2 linked regions of the Astyanax mexicanus genome follow. The protein of the gene in region 2 binds, or shares a complex with, the protein of the main gene of each other region. Links are inferred from orthologs where the notes say so. Each region holds a gene or a part of one and is shown on either strand. Other genes may lie near its edges.

What was found.
Region 1: the proteins of gabbr2 (region 2) and kctd16b are in contact, whole or in part, in a crystal structure (PDB 6M8R), measured with the Homo sapiens proteins. The link is inferred for Astyanax mexicanus from reciprocal best matches to the Homo sapiens genes GABBR2 and KCTD16. Residues at the interface, in NP_005449.5 of Homo sapiens: Ile882, Asn883, Ile888, Gln889, Arg891, Leu892, Ser893, Leu894, Gln895, Leu896, Pro897, Ile898, Leu899; in NP_001357415.1 of Homo sapiens: Asn30, Gly32, Gly33, Gln34, Val35, Tyr36, Asp64, Leu65, Ala66, Lys67, Asp68, Ser69, Arg72, Phe74, Gly79, Phe80, Arg83.

Annotation. Positions count from the first base shown.
Region 1 is NC_064424.1:21,114,518-21,122,485, forward strand, and holds the start of kctd16b (BTB/POZ domain-containing protein KCTD16b), read left to right. Parts: upstream 1-4,534; 5' UTR 4,535-5,717; coding exon 5,718-6,564; intron 6,565-7,968. UniProt on the Homo sapiens protein: Auxiliary subunit of GABA-B receptors that determine the pharmacology and kinetics of the receptor response. Increases agonist potency and markedly alter the G-protein signaling of the receptors by accelerating onset and promoting desensitization.
Region 2 is NC_064410.1:47,769,975-47,778,342, reverse strand, and holds the start of gabbr2 (gamma-aminobutyric acid type B receptor subunit 2), read left to right. Parts: upstream 1-5,102; 5' UTR 5,103-6,026; coding exon 6,027-6,296; intron 6,297-8,368. UniProt on the Homo sapiens protein: Component of a heterodimeric G-protein coupled receptor for GABA, formed by GABBR1 and GABBR2. Within the heterodimeric GABA receptor, only GABBR1 seems to bind agonists, while GABBR2 mediates coupling to G proteins.

The DNA of each region.
Region 1 (7,968 bases), on a different chromosome or scaffold from region 2:
AAAGCGGAGAGAGTGCGCAGTTTTAGCGCAGAAAAACGGGACAAAAGAGTCTAAAAGCGGAGAGAGTGCGCAGTTTTAGAGCAGAAAAACGGGCCAAAGAGTCTTAAAGTTGCCGTAATTAAGGAGTTTAATATTAAGAGACATCATAAAATGAAACATCAATTTGAAAAATCTTGGTTTACACAACATTGTGAAAGATAGTAAGTCAAGTAAAATGGTGTGTAAATGAAAGTAATCAGTAAAATGTATTATTTAAAGTAGTATATTTAATTATTTGTTTTATTATAGAGTCTGTGGCCCGTGACCAAATATATTTCTCCTTCTGGCCCCCAACAAAAAAAGTTTGGACACCCCTGCTATATACTATCTGTATGTTCTCAATGTACAGATATATATTTTACGCAGGCACATTGACAGGGTCCTCCGGAGTAGGTCCTCAACCATATGCCACGCCCCTTTCCTATGATACCACGCCCCCACGCAAGATCAGGGCCAAAAAAAAAGTCTGAAACCTGAAAACAACAGGCAAAACTTTTGACCCTAATTTAGCTCCATACTTCACCAGACCTATCCCCCATAGAAAATGAAAAGGGAGGCGATTAAATGTTCTTTACAACTCTATGAGGAACCTCTACAATACAGAGATGTTGCGATCCACATACATCACAAACAACTTCTGTAGGTGTAGCCCAATAAATATCACCAAGAGCATGTGCACTCCTGGCTTTCAGGTGCTGAACTGCAGAAAACTTCATGTAAAGAAGCATTTTATGAATAATGGGAAGGTCGGGTTAGACATTAATTGACAAGCAGGTAGGACCTATTGCATATTACTATTGCGTAGTACTTTTGTTGCACATGTTTCGATAAACTGGTTAGCTAATGTTCCAAAGCTTTAGGAAAATATTAAAATAATTTCTTAATTTAAAAACAATACAGAAAAAAAATGACTGATTCCAATGACAGGGCGAACATAACGTTATTTGTTGGCCATTAAAAGCAGAAGTGAACGAAAGCAAAGCCACCAGCAGCGAACATCCACTTTGAGCTATTTAAAGACAGCCAGGCAACTGCTGCACTCCACAGCAGCAGAAAAGAGCAGCTCTTGAGAGGTAGAAGCATGCATGTATTCATGATTACAGCTCTGGCCTACTTACAAATGAATGCACAGAGATTCCTGCTAACTCCATGCCCAACTCACTCCCTCTCTCAGGAACATGGTAGTTTGTGGAAGTGCAGAGCACAGGGAAAGATAACACAGAGTGGTATTGTTTGTGCTTTAGACTGTGCTGATTATATTAGCTCTATAAAGGTTTTTTTGGAGAAAGGCTGGTGGGTGTGGACTGATCGCTGTCCAGGGTGCTGAAAACGCTTTTCCATTTCAGGTGGGCATTAGTTCATTAAACTGTGGCTGCAGGGCAGGGCAAGACGACTTTACAAAATTCACCATGACTGTGATGACATCCAGCTCCAGAGGAAAAACCTATCAGACGCTGGAAACTGTTTAAACCCCAACGGACCCCCTGAGCAACTGATCAAAGTCTGTGAAATCATATAGCAAGTCGAAGGAGTGGGCCAGTGGTTCCTAATGCAAGAGTACAAATATACAAATATAATACAATTTCATAAGAAAATTAGTCTTAGTCTTAGGTAGGGCTGAAACTATTGATTATTTTGAGAGTTTTTTTTTTCTTTCAATTAATCGATTAGTCAATTAAACAATTATTTCTGACATGCCCTCCACTGTGTGAGCAAAGAAAGAGAGATAGAGGCTGCCTGGGAATCCACTCTCTCTACTTACTTTGTAGTTTTAAAATGACAAACAGATAAATGTGAAATTTAAATGCCCTTAAATGGTCAGAAGCCATTTAAGTCTTTTACTTTATTACAATTACAATAGAATAATTAGTAGACTTTCTGAGTCAACAAATTCTTATGATCGAAAAATGTATTTTGTCAACTTATCGTTGCAGCTCTAGTGTTACAGCAAAATTAGGGTATTAGAGAATTTTTTTTTTATTTAATTTTTTTCCCCATTTTCTCCCCAATTTTGCTCAGCCAATTACCCAACCCACTTATTAGGACTCCCCTATCACTATTAATGCCCCAACACACCAGGAGGGTGAAGACTAACACATGCCTTACCAAGAAGCACCACAGCGTGCTCAGAGGAAAGTGCAGTGACTAGTTTCAGATACATCAGCTCACATATGCCCTGTGCTGATCAACATCATCCTTTTAGTGATGTGGGGAGAGAGCGCCATCTACCCACCCGGAGGGAGCAGGGCCAATTTTGCTTCCTCTTAGCACCGGCAGCTGATTGCAAAGCTGCATGAGCGGGGGTTCGAACCTGCGACCTCCCACTCGTAGTGACAGCGCTTTAGACCGCTGGACTAACTAATAAGCTAAACTAATAAGCATTGGAATATTTGGTTACATACTTGATAGTTGAGCAGCCAACATTGACTATTCTACGCTATGAAAGGATACTGAAGTTAACATACAAACAGTGCCCTCCAATAGTATTGAAACAGTGAGGTCAATCCCATTATTTTAGCTGTAGACTGAAAACATTTGAATTTGACATTGAAAATTGACATTGACATTTCAGCTTTTATTTCCATTATTTATCTTTTAACATCAAACCCAAATGTTTTCAGTCTACAGCAGAAATAAAGGGATCTGCCTCACTGTTCCAATACTTTTGGAAGACTTTTTGGATTGTATCTTAGGTCTTGTGTATAGAGGTGTTGTTGAGAGTACATTAATTAACACAGCATCCATTCATCTTATTATCTGCTTATACCATACCAATATAATACCAACATATCCCAGGCCAAATTATTTTTTTTGTTAAACATGGAGCTGTTCAGAAACATCCAATAAGGTAGAGATGCTTGAAATCTATGTTTTCTGCATTTTGTGTATTATGTAAACAGGGAAAACAGGGCTTTTAAAAAACACAGACGTCACAATGCAATTTCTGCCTGAATCTCAACTACCTTTTTACTCCCTATACAGTTAACTTCATTGTCATATTTGGTCGAGCAAAAACTGTACTATTACCAATATATCATGCTTTATCCAGATTTAGAAACTATATTTTCCTGATTCGCATTGTAAACTACTTAGGCAGTAGTGCGTCATTTGGGATTAAACCTCTTAAACTCTTAAGTTTTCTTCCTTCTTTGTGGGGTTTTGATGTCTCTCTTAATGAGATACTATAACACAGTACTAGTGTACTAATGCAAGCACTTTCGTCTTTGTGTAGATACACAAATAAAAAAATAATAAAGTGAGAGAAAACTGCATTTTATATTTTAAAGTAGCTGGATATGTGTAGGTGTTTCCAGAATTGTTACAACACTGTTGGGGTTAGGGGTAAGAGAAATCATATATTAATCAGATAGTTTGGAGACATGTTTGAATTATTTCTCACCTTAAAAATGTTTAGCTTGGATGCTATAGCATTGCAACATCAAGATAGGATTTTTTTCATTAGATGCTATTAAAAAATAAAAAAATCCATTGTGTTCCAAGAGTGTTTCAAGAGTACTTTGGTGAAATGTAACATTTTAGAAAATCTTGTTTATTTTTATTCTACAATTATTACAGAAATCAGTGTAAAAAGCTTGTGGTTTGACTTGTAGTAAAAATGATTTGCTGGAGGAAGGAACTGATGCAATTCTTTCTCTAAACCAGAACTCTTAATTTGGGAGAAGTTCCACCTTTTCCAAAGGCAATATACTGCTTATGACTCTCTGACATATGTGTCTTCTGTTGCTCCACCCCCATCCGAAACAGAGATTCTGATTGGTTCTGAGTTTACTTCAACCTCCCCTCCCCCCACCCGCCCTCATGAAAAAAAACCTATAAACTTCTATAGTGTAAATTACACTGAATTATACTTCCCGACTGAAGCAACACATACCTAATTTGACATTACACAGGGGCATGACAATATACAAAAAAACTAAAAACCTCTCCACAATGTTGGCTTTAATCTTATTTAAGCTTATTTTAACTACTGACAACATTTCTTCCAAACTGCCAATAACAAAATTATATGTATTTTATATTTATATAATGTCTAGCTTTTAGCAATGACAGCTGCTCAACGAAACAAAAAGCAATGTTTCCAAACTTCTAATGATGATCAAGTTAATAATCAGATTTATTAGCACAGCACTGATAATTTAACTGTGAAAAACATGTAGAAATCACTATTTGAATAATACAATTCATTCTGTTTTATATTCTACTCTAATCAACCACAGTTAATAGCGGAGAACTATAGTCGCTGATCGTTCACACGCGTACTGCTTTAAGATGATGTAATTCTTTATAAGCCATTATGCTTTTTCTACCCCCCCCCACACCCCCTCCCCCCCCCACCCCCCTCCCCCCCCCCCATCCTCCACAAACCGCTGAGGAAACATCAGCTGAGCCTTTTCTTTTTTTTTTTTTTTTCAGGCACCACCCTGATCGGGAAGAGAGTCGGTGCGCAGTCTCGAGCTGCTCCCCTGCTCTTCTCCTCCTCTTCCTCCTCCCCTTCCTCTTCTTCCTCCTTTTCCTCCACCGGGCGCGCGCATCCACCGGACCAAAATCAGCATACTCCTCTTTTTTCAGAGGCAAAGAGGTAAAAAAAAAAACAACAACAACAAAAACCGGGATGCAATCCAGGACAACCGGGATTAAAATCTAGGACTGATACGGTTCGCAGAATCCGCGCGCGGTGCTGGACCACACGGACGGTCCCTGATAAAGAAGAAAGAAGTGCGCGCGCGCTGTTTCTCTCTTTGAAGTTACAACCGGGACTATCATATTTTTTATACCTTCAAACCGCATCCACGCGCCGGCTTTCTTTCCGTTTTCCGTGCTCAGAAGTTGGATGCGCGTTAACGGGTTCAACTTCAGTTGAAGTTGGAAGTCGGTGGACTTACAGAAGCACTGCTGCTTTTTTTCTTTTGGAAGAGGAATAGACTATACATATTTTGACCGGCTTCTATATGAGAAGGAGTGTGTTATTTCTATTTGAGACCATCCATCAGTTCATCCCTCTATCTATCAATCCACTGAAGCTCCGCTTTACATAAGAAGAAGAGAAGCCCCCTCCCTCCCAACTGGAGGTGGGCTAGCCTACAGTTTTACCAGTTTTACGCACGGATATATTTATCAGCGTTATGTTTATTTAATTTTTTAACCGCTTTCCATAAGGGATCCTATTTTGGAGGTTTGGACTGCATGGCGCATTCCACCCAAACTCATCACTCCAGGGCGTTCAGGTCTGTGAATGCTTTCTGCTTTTATTTTGTTTGTCTGTTTGATTAATCGCAATCAAATCGATTTGGAGAAGCCGGAGAAGACTCGCGCTTGCACGGGATACTATACTGCGCGAAAGAGCGGTACTGTACGGGTTCTGTACACTGTTTTTGTGCAGATGTACCTTCCTCAGAGGTACAGAATGATCCTTCAGCTTCGAGAGGTGGCAAAAGGGGCACCACCCCAGTGACCCTAGTTTATTTTATTTTATTTATTTATATTTCTACCATTTTTGTTTTTTTTTTGGCTTGGGAGAAACTTTTTTGTTTTTTGGGTTGTTGTTTTTTTCGGCTCCACCAACAACAGATACATATAGGTGGATCTGCCAGCCTGCAAGCATCATCTTCATCATCCTCATCTCATCACATCACATCGCATCAGATCTGCCTCTCCCCATGACCGAAACCATGGCTCTGAGTGGGAACTGCAGGACTCAGCCCACGGCCAATAAAGACCAGGGGTCCGTCCAGAACAGCTTCCCAGACGTGATTGAGCTCAACGTCGGGGGGCAGGTGTACTACACCCGCCACTCCACCCTGACCAGCCACCCAGCTTCCTTCCTGGGCAAGCTGTTCTCCACCAAAAGTAACGCGTCCAACGACCTCGCCCGGGACCCCAAGGGCCGCTACTTCATTGACCGGGACGGTTTTTTGTTCCGCTATGTTCTGGACTACCTCAGGGACCGTCAGGTGGTTCTGCCCGACCACTTTCCCGAGAAGGGCCGCCTGAGGAAGGAGGCCGAATACTTCCAGCTTCCCGACCTGGTCAAACTGCTGACGCCCGAGGAGCCCAAGCCCAGCCCAGAGGAGTACTTGCACAGCGACTACGAGGACGGCTCTCAGGGCAGCGATCAGCGCGCTTGCCCGCCGCCCTCGTTAGTACCAGCGGACCGGCGGAGCGGCTTCATCACGGTCGGCTACCGGGGATCGTGTACGGCTGGACGGGAGAGCCAGACGGACGCGCGCTTCAGGCGCGTTCCGCGGATCATGATCTGCGGCAGGATCGCCCTGGCCAAGGAGGTCTTCGGGGAGACCCTGAACGAGAGCAGGGACCCGGACCGGACCCCTGAGCGCTACACGTCCCGCTTCTACCTGAAGTTCAAGCACCTGGAGCGCTCCTTCGACATGCTCTCCGAGTGCGGCTTCCAGATGGTGGCGTGCAACTCCTCCGTCACCGCCTCCTTCGTTAATCAGCACACGGACGACAAAGTGTGGTCGAGTTACACGGAGTACGTCTTTTACCGTAAGTCCTAACGAGCGCGCGCTCGAGCTGATGATGATTTAAATGCTGCACCTTAAAATTTCACTTCTGCACGAGCTGCTTTACACAGTACTAATAAAACCACACACACTGACGCCAGTAGATCCCCCAGTCGCCAGTAGAGGGCGCGCTTGCTTAGTTTGTAGCCAGAGTCTCGTGGCTTGTGGGTGGATGATTTTTTTTCTTTTCTATATTATTTGGACAAAAAAGATAAAAAATAAAAATTAAGTCTTACAGTAGGCACATGCAAAAAAAGTATCAACCACCAGATTGTACCCCTACCCTTAACATACACCACCCCCCCCCCTTCCAAAAAATAAAGGGGGAACCATGAAAAATGATTCTATACATATTTTAGGAGTTTTTAGGAGAGTACAACTACCTTGGTGTACTTGTACCAGTAAGCTATTAGTCTTGAAAGATAGTGCTGATACTTGTAGTGCTACAGATTGCATTGATTACCAGTTCTTGGAGAACTGGAGAACAGTTTTCAAGGAGAAAATAAGGAGTTTTTTGCTACAAAAAAAAAAAAAAAGATTTTAGGGTGTGGCCAAAATGCATAGGTAGTTTTTAAATATGCAGTATGAAATGTAGATACATGTAGATAAACATATCAAAGTTTATTTTCACTTTGAATGATTTGGTTTCAGAGTGTGGTTACAATGAACGCTGATTTCCCACAGTAATGCAAAATACATAGGGAAGAGCTACTTGCATCTGAAATAAAATGCAAATAGTTCTGGAATTGTGCATCTGGAAGAGATAGTGGTGGTGGTAAATGGTAGTCCACCTCCTAATTGGCTGGGGCACAGATTATAGCATGTGTTAAACATCATTTTCTTAATTTTTGACAAGATCAAAATAAAGTCTCACAGTATGCACATGCAAAAATATGTAGCAAGCACCAGATATTAGGTTAAACCCTCCACCAAACACACGCCCACCTTCCAAAAAAAAAATAAAAATAAAAACAGAACCAGGATAGAGTAATAAAATATTTACTCCTTAACCCTAGACTGTGTTGTACGTGCGGGCTGCTAGCCTTGGCCCTTACTGCTACTGTTTTTGCTCACTAGAAAGCTCCATGCTAGTAAATAAAATAATAAATTATGCTACTACTTAATTACTTAATTAAGTAATAAAGATAAGGGTTAACAAGAAAAAAAAATAATGGTTCCACTTTAAACAATCAAATTGAATTATGATTTTTTGTATTTTATAAACAATCACAGCCCTAATTACAAGAAGGGTTGTTGGAGAAACAAAAGTTTATAGACAACTTATTACACAACACACACTATTACTTGTGAAAAACACACACAAACACACACAAACACACACACAAACAAACAAACACAATGACACATGTGTAAGTAGAGTTAACAA
Region 2 (8,368 bases):
ATAGTTTCCCAATGGTGGAACAATCTACCCTCTACTACCAGATCAGGAGCATCCCTCACTATCTTCAAGAAACTCCTGAAGACAGAGCTCTTCAAAGAGCACTTACTCTCTTAACACCTCTAACAAACTAACTACTTCTAACCCTAATTTCCTTCTTCCCCTCCTTTCCTCCTCCATCCCACTATTTCCCTTATTGGCCTCCCCCTTTTTTTTTTTTTTACCTTGAACTGCTATGTCTTTTATTGCTAAACGTACTTCATTATTCATTACATTTTGGAAAAAAGTGTCTACCAAATGTAATGTAATGTAATATTCAGATTTAGACTGTTTTAAAATTGATTGTGGAGCTTCTGCTTATGAGAAAAATGTCTTTTAAACCCAAAGCTCCTCTAGATCTGATCTTTAAAAAGATGAAATGTCCCCACTGGTCTGTATAAAGATCTACTAAAGGACAAATCTATCTGCTGTCAGGTAAAACCTCTTTATTGAAGCTCTCCCTGGAAACATTAGGAATCGGTTTAATATGTCATATAATCTTTTCATTACAACTCTGGGCCCTGTCTTATTGTAGGGTGTTGTAAATGTTGGACAGCAAGGGATATTAAAACCTGCAGCTCTCTGTCTTTTAATCTTATTTCCTTTATGTATCCTCACGGGAATTGAACCTGTGACCTTGCATTTATAGATCTGAGGCAATTCATCAGAGTGTCCCTGGCATAACTCTTATTGTGTGAGTGTGTGTCGTCTGGGACACTTTAAATATTACTGCTTGCATTGTTGGTGAATGGTTTGTTCAGACAGCAGAGAATGTTAAGGATCTGTTCCTGAAGATGCTGGAAGGCTTGTTTGAGTGTTTGAATCTGCGTAGTACCCTAGAACCTTTAAGAAGCCGCTTCCTGTTTTAAAAATGACATGCTGTAAATCTCACGCCTGAACGGATATATATTTCCCCAGGATCAAATGGGATTATCATTCACAGGCGACACGTCTCCATGTTCATGGCACGTTTCTTTTAATAAATGGCTAGCTGGGGAGACACTGAAAAAAAATGGATGGGGATTTTTTAAGGTTTAATTTTTCATTCGTGCTGTTTTGAATATTTGATGATCAAAATTCTGACTGCATCCAGCAGGAATGCATTGTCAGAGGTGCACTGAAGGATATCCTTGGGCTGTCCTATTAATCTCTATTAAGCACAGACATGTCAGACAAGCCTGTAGGTGTGTGTGTGTAAGTGTGTATCTGTTTGTCTGTTTGCTGGTGTGGGCGTGTCTACATGTGTATTATTGGCAGAAAGATTGCTCAAAGATTGTTTTCATATTTAGCCTGTTACAAATATATAAGGGAATCCATATAATACATACTGTATACACTGACATACCTGAAGTACTGAGAAAGCATAATGATGTGTTACCTCAGGAGGTGGCTTGGAAAAAGCCCACGCCTGCATAAGTTGTGAGGTGTTATCTTGTGAACAAGATTCAACACTGGCCAGCATTATCATGGCAAAGTGATGGGAAGTATTAGAGCTTAAGTGAGGCCTGATAGGAGGTGCTGGATGGATGCGACATTCCATTTCCATTTCAGTTGTGCAAGCTTTTAACATTATTTAATCCGCAGTGTCTTCTTTGTACTGAGAGATTTATACATCATATAAATCATATATATTAACCATATATATATCTCATATATATATATATATATATATATATATATATATATATATATATATATATATATATATATATATATATATATATATATATATTTATAATATGACTTACAGTGAACAGTTCAGTGAGTAGTAATAATCATGACCAGTGGCATATGGCAAGAATTGTTCGTATACACAGACAGAAACTTCTATGATGTCTATGGGGGGCTTCCCTACTAGCCCACCACGCTCCGCAAAACCAGCAAGCTGATTGGTTGTTTCTCCTAAAAGGTGAAACTTTATCCATGAACTGGCTCTGTGATTAGAATGAAGAGTTTTATCATTCTCGCACGGCTAGTGGTCTGTCTCTTCAGTAATAATACAGCTGAGCTGAGCGAAACGATTCGGGGCTGCTGGAAAATTATTCGGGGCTAAAGCCCCGGAAGCCCAGTCCAGGCGATGCCCCTGCCCCTACTTATTTATGGTTTCTTTTGAGATCTTTTTTTAAGCAGCTGTCTACTGTCCAGGAAAGGCTTTCTATTAGAATTTGGAGCATTGCTGAGAAATTTGAATACATTCACTGTCTAGAGCATGCTTATTGATCTCCAACCCCTATACCCACCTTGTCACCAACTGTCCAACTCATCCCAAAAGTATTAGACAGAGCACCATCATTCAAGAGTACACAGTTCCACTGCTTTACCGCTCAGTGTTGAGGCCCCTTTCCTCCCTCTAGCCCATGCCTGATATTAGGAAAAAGAAAAAGAATCAAACAACTGGAAAAATAAATGAATAAAGTACAGTGACGGGTGGTGCAGTAGTGCAGCAGCTCCGGACACTGGGCATCTGGGGTTGTAGGTTCAATCCTGGCTCTGTTCACTGTCTGAAAGGAGTTAGGTAAATTCCCCCCGTGTCTGTAGATCAACTGCCTATTCTAACTTGCCCCTAGACCTGAGTGAATGAGTAATTGTGGTACACTGTAGAAGCTGTGTATGCCTGCAGTCGATGATCCTAGGTACTGCTGAGCCCATCTTGACCCTGACCAACCCTGAAGCAGACAGGAAGATGGATGGATGGCTGGATGAATGGAAGTATGATGACTTATTAAGGCCTGACATGCAATCAGTTAATGAGTTATTGTTATGATTTTACAGCCTCTAGCAAAAAGAAAAATGCCATTCAAAACCAAATGCACACTCCCACAGTACATTAACACACATGTGCATCAGCTTCTGGTCATTCTGGTCTATTAGATCAAATTCTATTGGACAAGTGGATGAGCATTTATCATTTCACACAGACAATACGCTTCAGTGCTGAGTCACGGATCTCGCTTTTGTCAGATTTCAGATGGACTTAGTATAAAACCACGGTACAATGGGAGACACTCGAGCGTGCAGACATCTGATGAATACTGCATTGTATTAGCAGCTCACAGTCTGCAGTGGGCAGAATGAGTTCTGGCTAGATTTGCTGTGTGAAAACTCCAGTGCTCGATGGATCCACCTGATAAGGACTGTGTTATATGAGTGGTTCCCTAGAACCCAGTTTTTTTTATCTGTCTATACTGTATGTGAAAGGAACTGTTCATGTGACAAGATTGTAGTTCCTGCCGAAACTTTGAGTATAATTGCAGTGTTGATTCATGGCTGGTTGCTTTGGTGCATCTGCTGGTTGCTATTGTCTTGCTAAGCGGTTGCTAGCTGGTTGCTGAAGTGTTGCTAGGTGATTGCTAAGCTGTTGGGGGTGTCCAAAGTTTGAGCATGGCTATGGTCGCTAGACTGGTCTGGATGCATGGGCTGGCGTGCCGGGGTGTCCAAACTTTTGAGAGCGCTTATGTATGCTAGGTTGCTCTGGACATGCGGGGAGTCCAAATGTTTGACCAATAATATCTAGTTTATCCAATAGCTCCTCCATACACACACAGTACTGGAGCGGTGACCGGTGTGCCGGGGTGTCCAAACTATTGACCAATATCTATATTGGACCATTGTTCTCTACTGGTATGTGAATGCATGTTAAGGGAGATGCCTTTATTGAGACGTTGATGTAAAATTGATTTGTCAATATAATACTGCTTATTGCACATTGCATATTCACAGTCAAAATTTTACATTATTTTTATGGTTAAAAAAAGTGTTACTGAAGTGCCCTCTAGAGTGGCATTAACAAAGTGCCCTAGTGGCTGCTTCTCTTATGGCGATGTAATAAAGTCCCTACTATGGCTGTCTTACAATAACTTATAATGACGTGCCCTATAGAGCAATAATATTTAATAATGCATCTTAATAAGTGTCCATCTATGGATGGACTTTTACCATTTCAATAGAAGAAGGTGCAGTTACAGAGTGTCTTCTATGCCATCCCTACCAGACAGTGTCCAAAAGGGATGCCCTGTCTGAAAAAAGGATGCAGTGCTGTATAGGGCACTTCTCCAGGTACCCAGAAAACATAAAAGTGCTTATTTAAAGGAGAATTGCACTACTAGTTGTTAATTTCTATAATTTTAATTTATTTACTTTTTATCATCCTTCCTTCATTCCAGCAGTCAATAGATACTGTTTGAGTACATATACATCTGGTGCAGCCAGATCAGGACCACGGACAGCACCCTGACTCTGAACTTCCAAAAAGAGATAAAAGAGATAATCTCCCACTGCTGAATTACATGATCCTAATGCAGAACAATGTAAAAGCAAAAGGTGCAGCCCATCAATATCATTTGGCATTGCTGTATTGCTAGGTGGCACTGTTTATTGGAATGGAAGTGTAGTGCTGGACTGCAGAACGATTTATGTGCAATTTCCTGCAACCTAATCTCTGCATATCAGATGCTCAGGAACACCTTTTCCTTACATAATATTCTCTGAAAGAGACAGTGAATCTCGCTCAGTGAATATCTGCTTTAAATCAAAACACAAGTCTTGCAAACTAAACCACGCTAATGCTTGCATCCATCATTTTGTTTAAATGTGACTTTCATAGCATCTAGGAGACGTTAGATAGGTAGCTTGCACGAGACTGTTACATCAACAATCTTGCGCGTGCACTTCTCTCTCTCTATTTTCTGAGCTCTCGCTCTCTTTCTGATCTCTCTCTCTCTTCACCTATCCCTAAGCTCTCTTCCTACTTCTCTACCTCTCTCTCTCTCTCTCTCCACCTATCCTTCTTGCGCTCACTCTGCATCCCTCTGTTTTCATCTCTCTCTCTCTCTCTCTCTCTCTCTCCTTCTCTATTTTATGCGCACACTCTGCCTGCTCTCTCTCTCCCTCTATGTGTGCTCTCTCTCTCTTTTCTGAGCTCTCTCTCTTTTCTAAGCTCTCTTCCTACTTCTCTACCTCTCTCTCTGTCTCTCTGTCTCTCTCTCTCTCTCTCTCCTTCTTTATTTTATGCGCGCACACTCTGCTCTCTCTCTCTCTCTCTCTCTCTCTCTCTCTCTCCCCCTCCCTCCCTCGTGTTTTTTTCTGAGCCACTCAGGCGCGCGCTCTCCGCAGCAGCAGAAGCAGCAGAAGCAGCGCGTGCAGGCAGGCCGCTCTTCCTCCTTATCATCTTCCTCCTCCTCAGCTCTTCTTCATCATCATTTGGGGAATTGTGCGTCAGGACTGTACGCTGAGCTTCCCGCGGACTTTGTATAATATTCGCCTTTCTGGAGGTGCGAGCTAACCTGCGCGCGCGCGAGAGAGAGAGGGGATTCCGGGCTCGCGCTTTCGTGCTTTCGCTCTTGCGCGCTGGACCCGCTGCATCCTTGCCTCAGTGGCTCTCTCGCTCACGGAGCGACATTGACTCGCGCTTCGCAACTTCGCACGGATTAAACGGGGAAGGGGGTCGCGTGCGAGCAGAGGAAAGTACAACATTATATATATACACACACACGGGACCGGAGCTGCACGGGCACCGGAGTGGCACGCGGAGGGGGTAGGGGGAAACTCTCCTTCCCTATATATATTCTTCTTCTTCTTCCTTCTCCTCCTCATCCTCCTCTCCTGTGGAATTAAAGCTACCTTCATCATCATCACTCTTCCGACTCTACCGCCAGCGCGCCTACGAGCACCTATACCCCCGTGCCACCCTCCTCCTCCTCTTCTTCCTCCTCTTCTCCTCTTCCCTCCTCCTCCTCCCTCTCTCTCTCTCTCTCTCTCTCTCTCTCCAGACCCCTCAGCTTCTCCTCTCAGAGCATCGCAATGCCCGCGCGCTGAGTCCGGCGCGGCTCCTTAAGCTCACCCCCATCCTCCTCCCCTGCGCGCGCGCGCACGGCGGCGGCAGCAGCATCAGCACCAGCACCAGCACCAGCCTCAGCATCATCATCAGCCTAGACAGCAGCGGCAGCATCAGTAGCGGCTGAAGCGGCAGTGGCAGCGGCAGTGGCAGCGGCATGGCTCCGTCCCTGCTCCTCGCCTCCAGCTGCCTGCTCCTGGCGACCCTGGCCACGGCCAAGGTGTGCAACGACTACACCGGCCACAGCGTGGACGCAGCGTGGTCGGCCAGGGACGTGCCCATCATGGTGCTCATGCCCATGAACGAGTCTGCGCTGATGAGCAGCATCAGCCAGGGCATCGAGCCCGCGGTGCAGCTCGCCATCCGCCACATCCGCGAATCCCGCAAGTACGCCTTCTCTCTCATCACCAAGATCTACGACACTGAGGTACGTGGGAGAGTGTTTGTTTCAGGGTCGTGTCTTGTGTGTGTGTGTGCGTGAGTGTGCGTACGCGCGTGTTGTGGCGTATCCCAGAGAGTGTGCGTATCCCACAGATCCAGCCAGGATCGTAAATGCGTGTAAATGCATACATAAATGGTCGTAAGGACGCAGTGTTGCAATGTAGCTCGTGCGCTACGTCTGTCTATTTTGTCTTGAAGCCCCCCTCAAAGCATCAAAACAATCCAAATACGATCATATTCATATGCCCCCTCCAATCAGGTGTTATATAGTACAAAAATAAAGCAACCCCCCTTCTTCACCACCCATCCCACGTGCACACAGCTCGTGACACCGTCACCCACCGCCTCCCTGCTCATTATGCTCATTATAGACAGGTAGAGCTCACATCATAGATCAGCCTGTAGTTGACTGACTACAGTAGCACTTTACAGTAGTAGCAGAACCAGCATCCAATCAGAAGCCCCGTATTTGAATGCTAATGCAAAATTCAAGGCTGTGTTATTCCTATAGCAGCAATACATTATGCAGCAGTTTCCATAGTGCGGTAAACACACTGGCTGCTCAGTCAGCTGGGAAAGGCAGCATGATGCTATTATAGGGGTCCAAGCACTTTTCCAAATATATTGTATATTGGTATTGTAAATACCAATAATAATATATGGATTGATTGATTAAGCATAACAAGCATATTCATCAACCTACACCCCTACGTTCCTTCACACATATTCTATAAGTCTTATTTTATGCTCCTCACATATAAAAAACAAGAACTGAGCTTTCCTCTCTCCTCACCTGGATGTGTAGATGTGCTTGGTTTCCTTTACACCTGAAGATGGCAGTCATTTGTTAGGGTTTCTCTGGCTGCATCTGACCTTAGCTTTTACAGCTCCTCCAAGGATATACAGGAATTGGAATGTAATTGCAGCCTGGACACATTAAGGCTCAAACTAAATGCTCAGGATCCTAAAGAGCAGTGTGGAAGACTTATGGTGCTCAACTCTACACTTTTTAGAACAGACTAAAGATCTAAAGGACATTTCAGTATTGTTTTGTTTTGGGATGGAAAAAGTGGATTTTATGTAATGGAACCTTTACACCAAATTCAACACATATTTTGCCATCTGTGTTCTGTAAACCAGGCTCACAACTTTATAGTTTTATCTGCATTTACTCACTTTAATTTACATCGTGCGTACAAGTGCTTACTACCAAGGGAAGCTATATATTTGTGGTTCTTTGTGAACGTAAACAGAATTGGATGCTTCAATTGATGATCCACCATATATTTGCACAGATAATTGCACAAGCTTGCACTTAAAATGTTTTGGACCATTAAAACGCACTTTTGAAGTTTTTTGCTGTAAAATTTGGACTTTGTGAAAAAGGAAGAGATTGCTAATTGGTCAGAGAGAATTGTCAGTTTAAACGATACAAAACAGGAACAGGATCTCTTCAACAGTTTTCATTGTTATTGTGTCATCACATATCTCACCACTGATAAGGGTAGTAAAGGTGTTGATGTCATCACCAGCTACATTTGTGGGAGTGGGGGATGTGATAGTAGAAAATGAAACAGATGTCAAGTCGAGTAGAGTTAAATACTGTAGGTAATTCAGCATGAAATGGACTTGGGGTGTAGTGAAACGTGATAAAGAGTTTCAACTTTTGTCAAATAGCGATCCTCCATTCATCTCAACTATTCCGAAATACATCGCTTTTAGCCAATGCTCTCATCGGGCTTACAATGCAAGAGATTGCTAGAAATTGCTATTTTTACACCATTAACAAGCCCAAAGTAGCTCTATGCTTCACTGGTAGAATTCTGAGGGCCCTGATATTTAAAATGAGACACTGAGAATTTAGAAAATACACAAAATCGACGGATGAGCACAAACATAAAGGTAGGATAGTGGAACAAATTGTTAAATTAATTCTGTGGAAATGCATGAATTGCAGATGCTGCTGAAAATATCTCTATAATGTGCGTGCACTGAATTTATTTTGCAATCTATTCCCTTTCACCTATATCAGGGCCCTCAGAATTCTACCAATTGTCT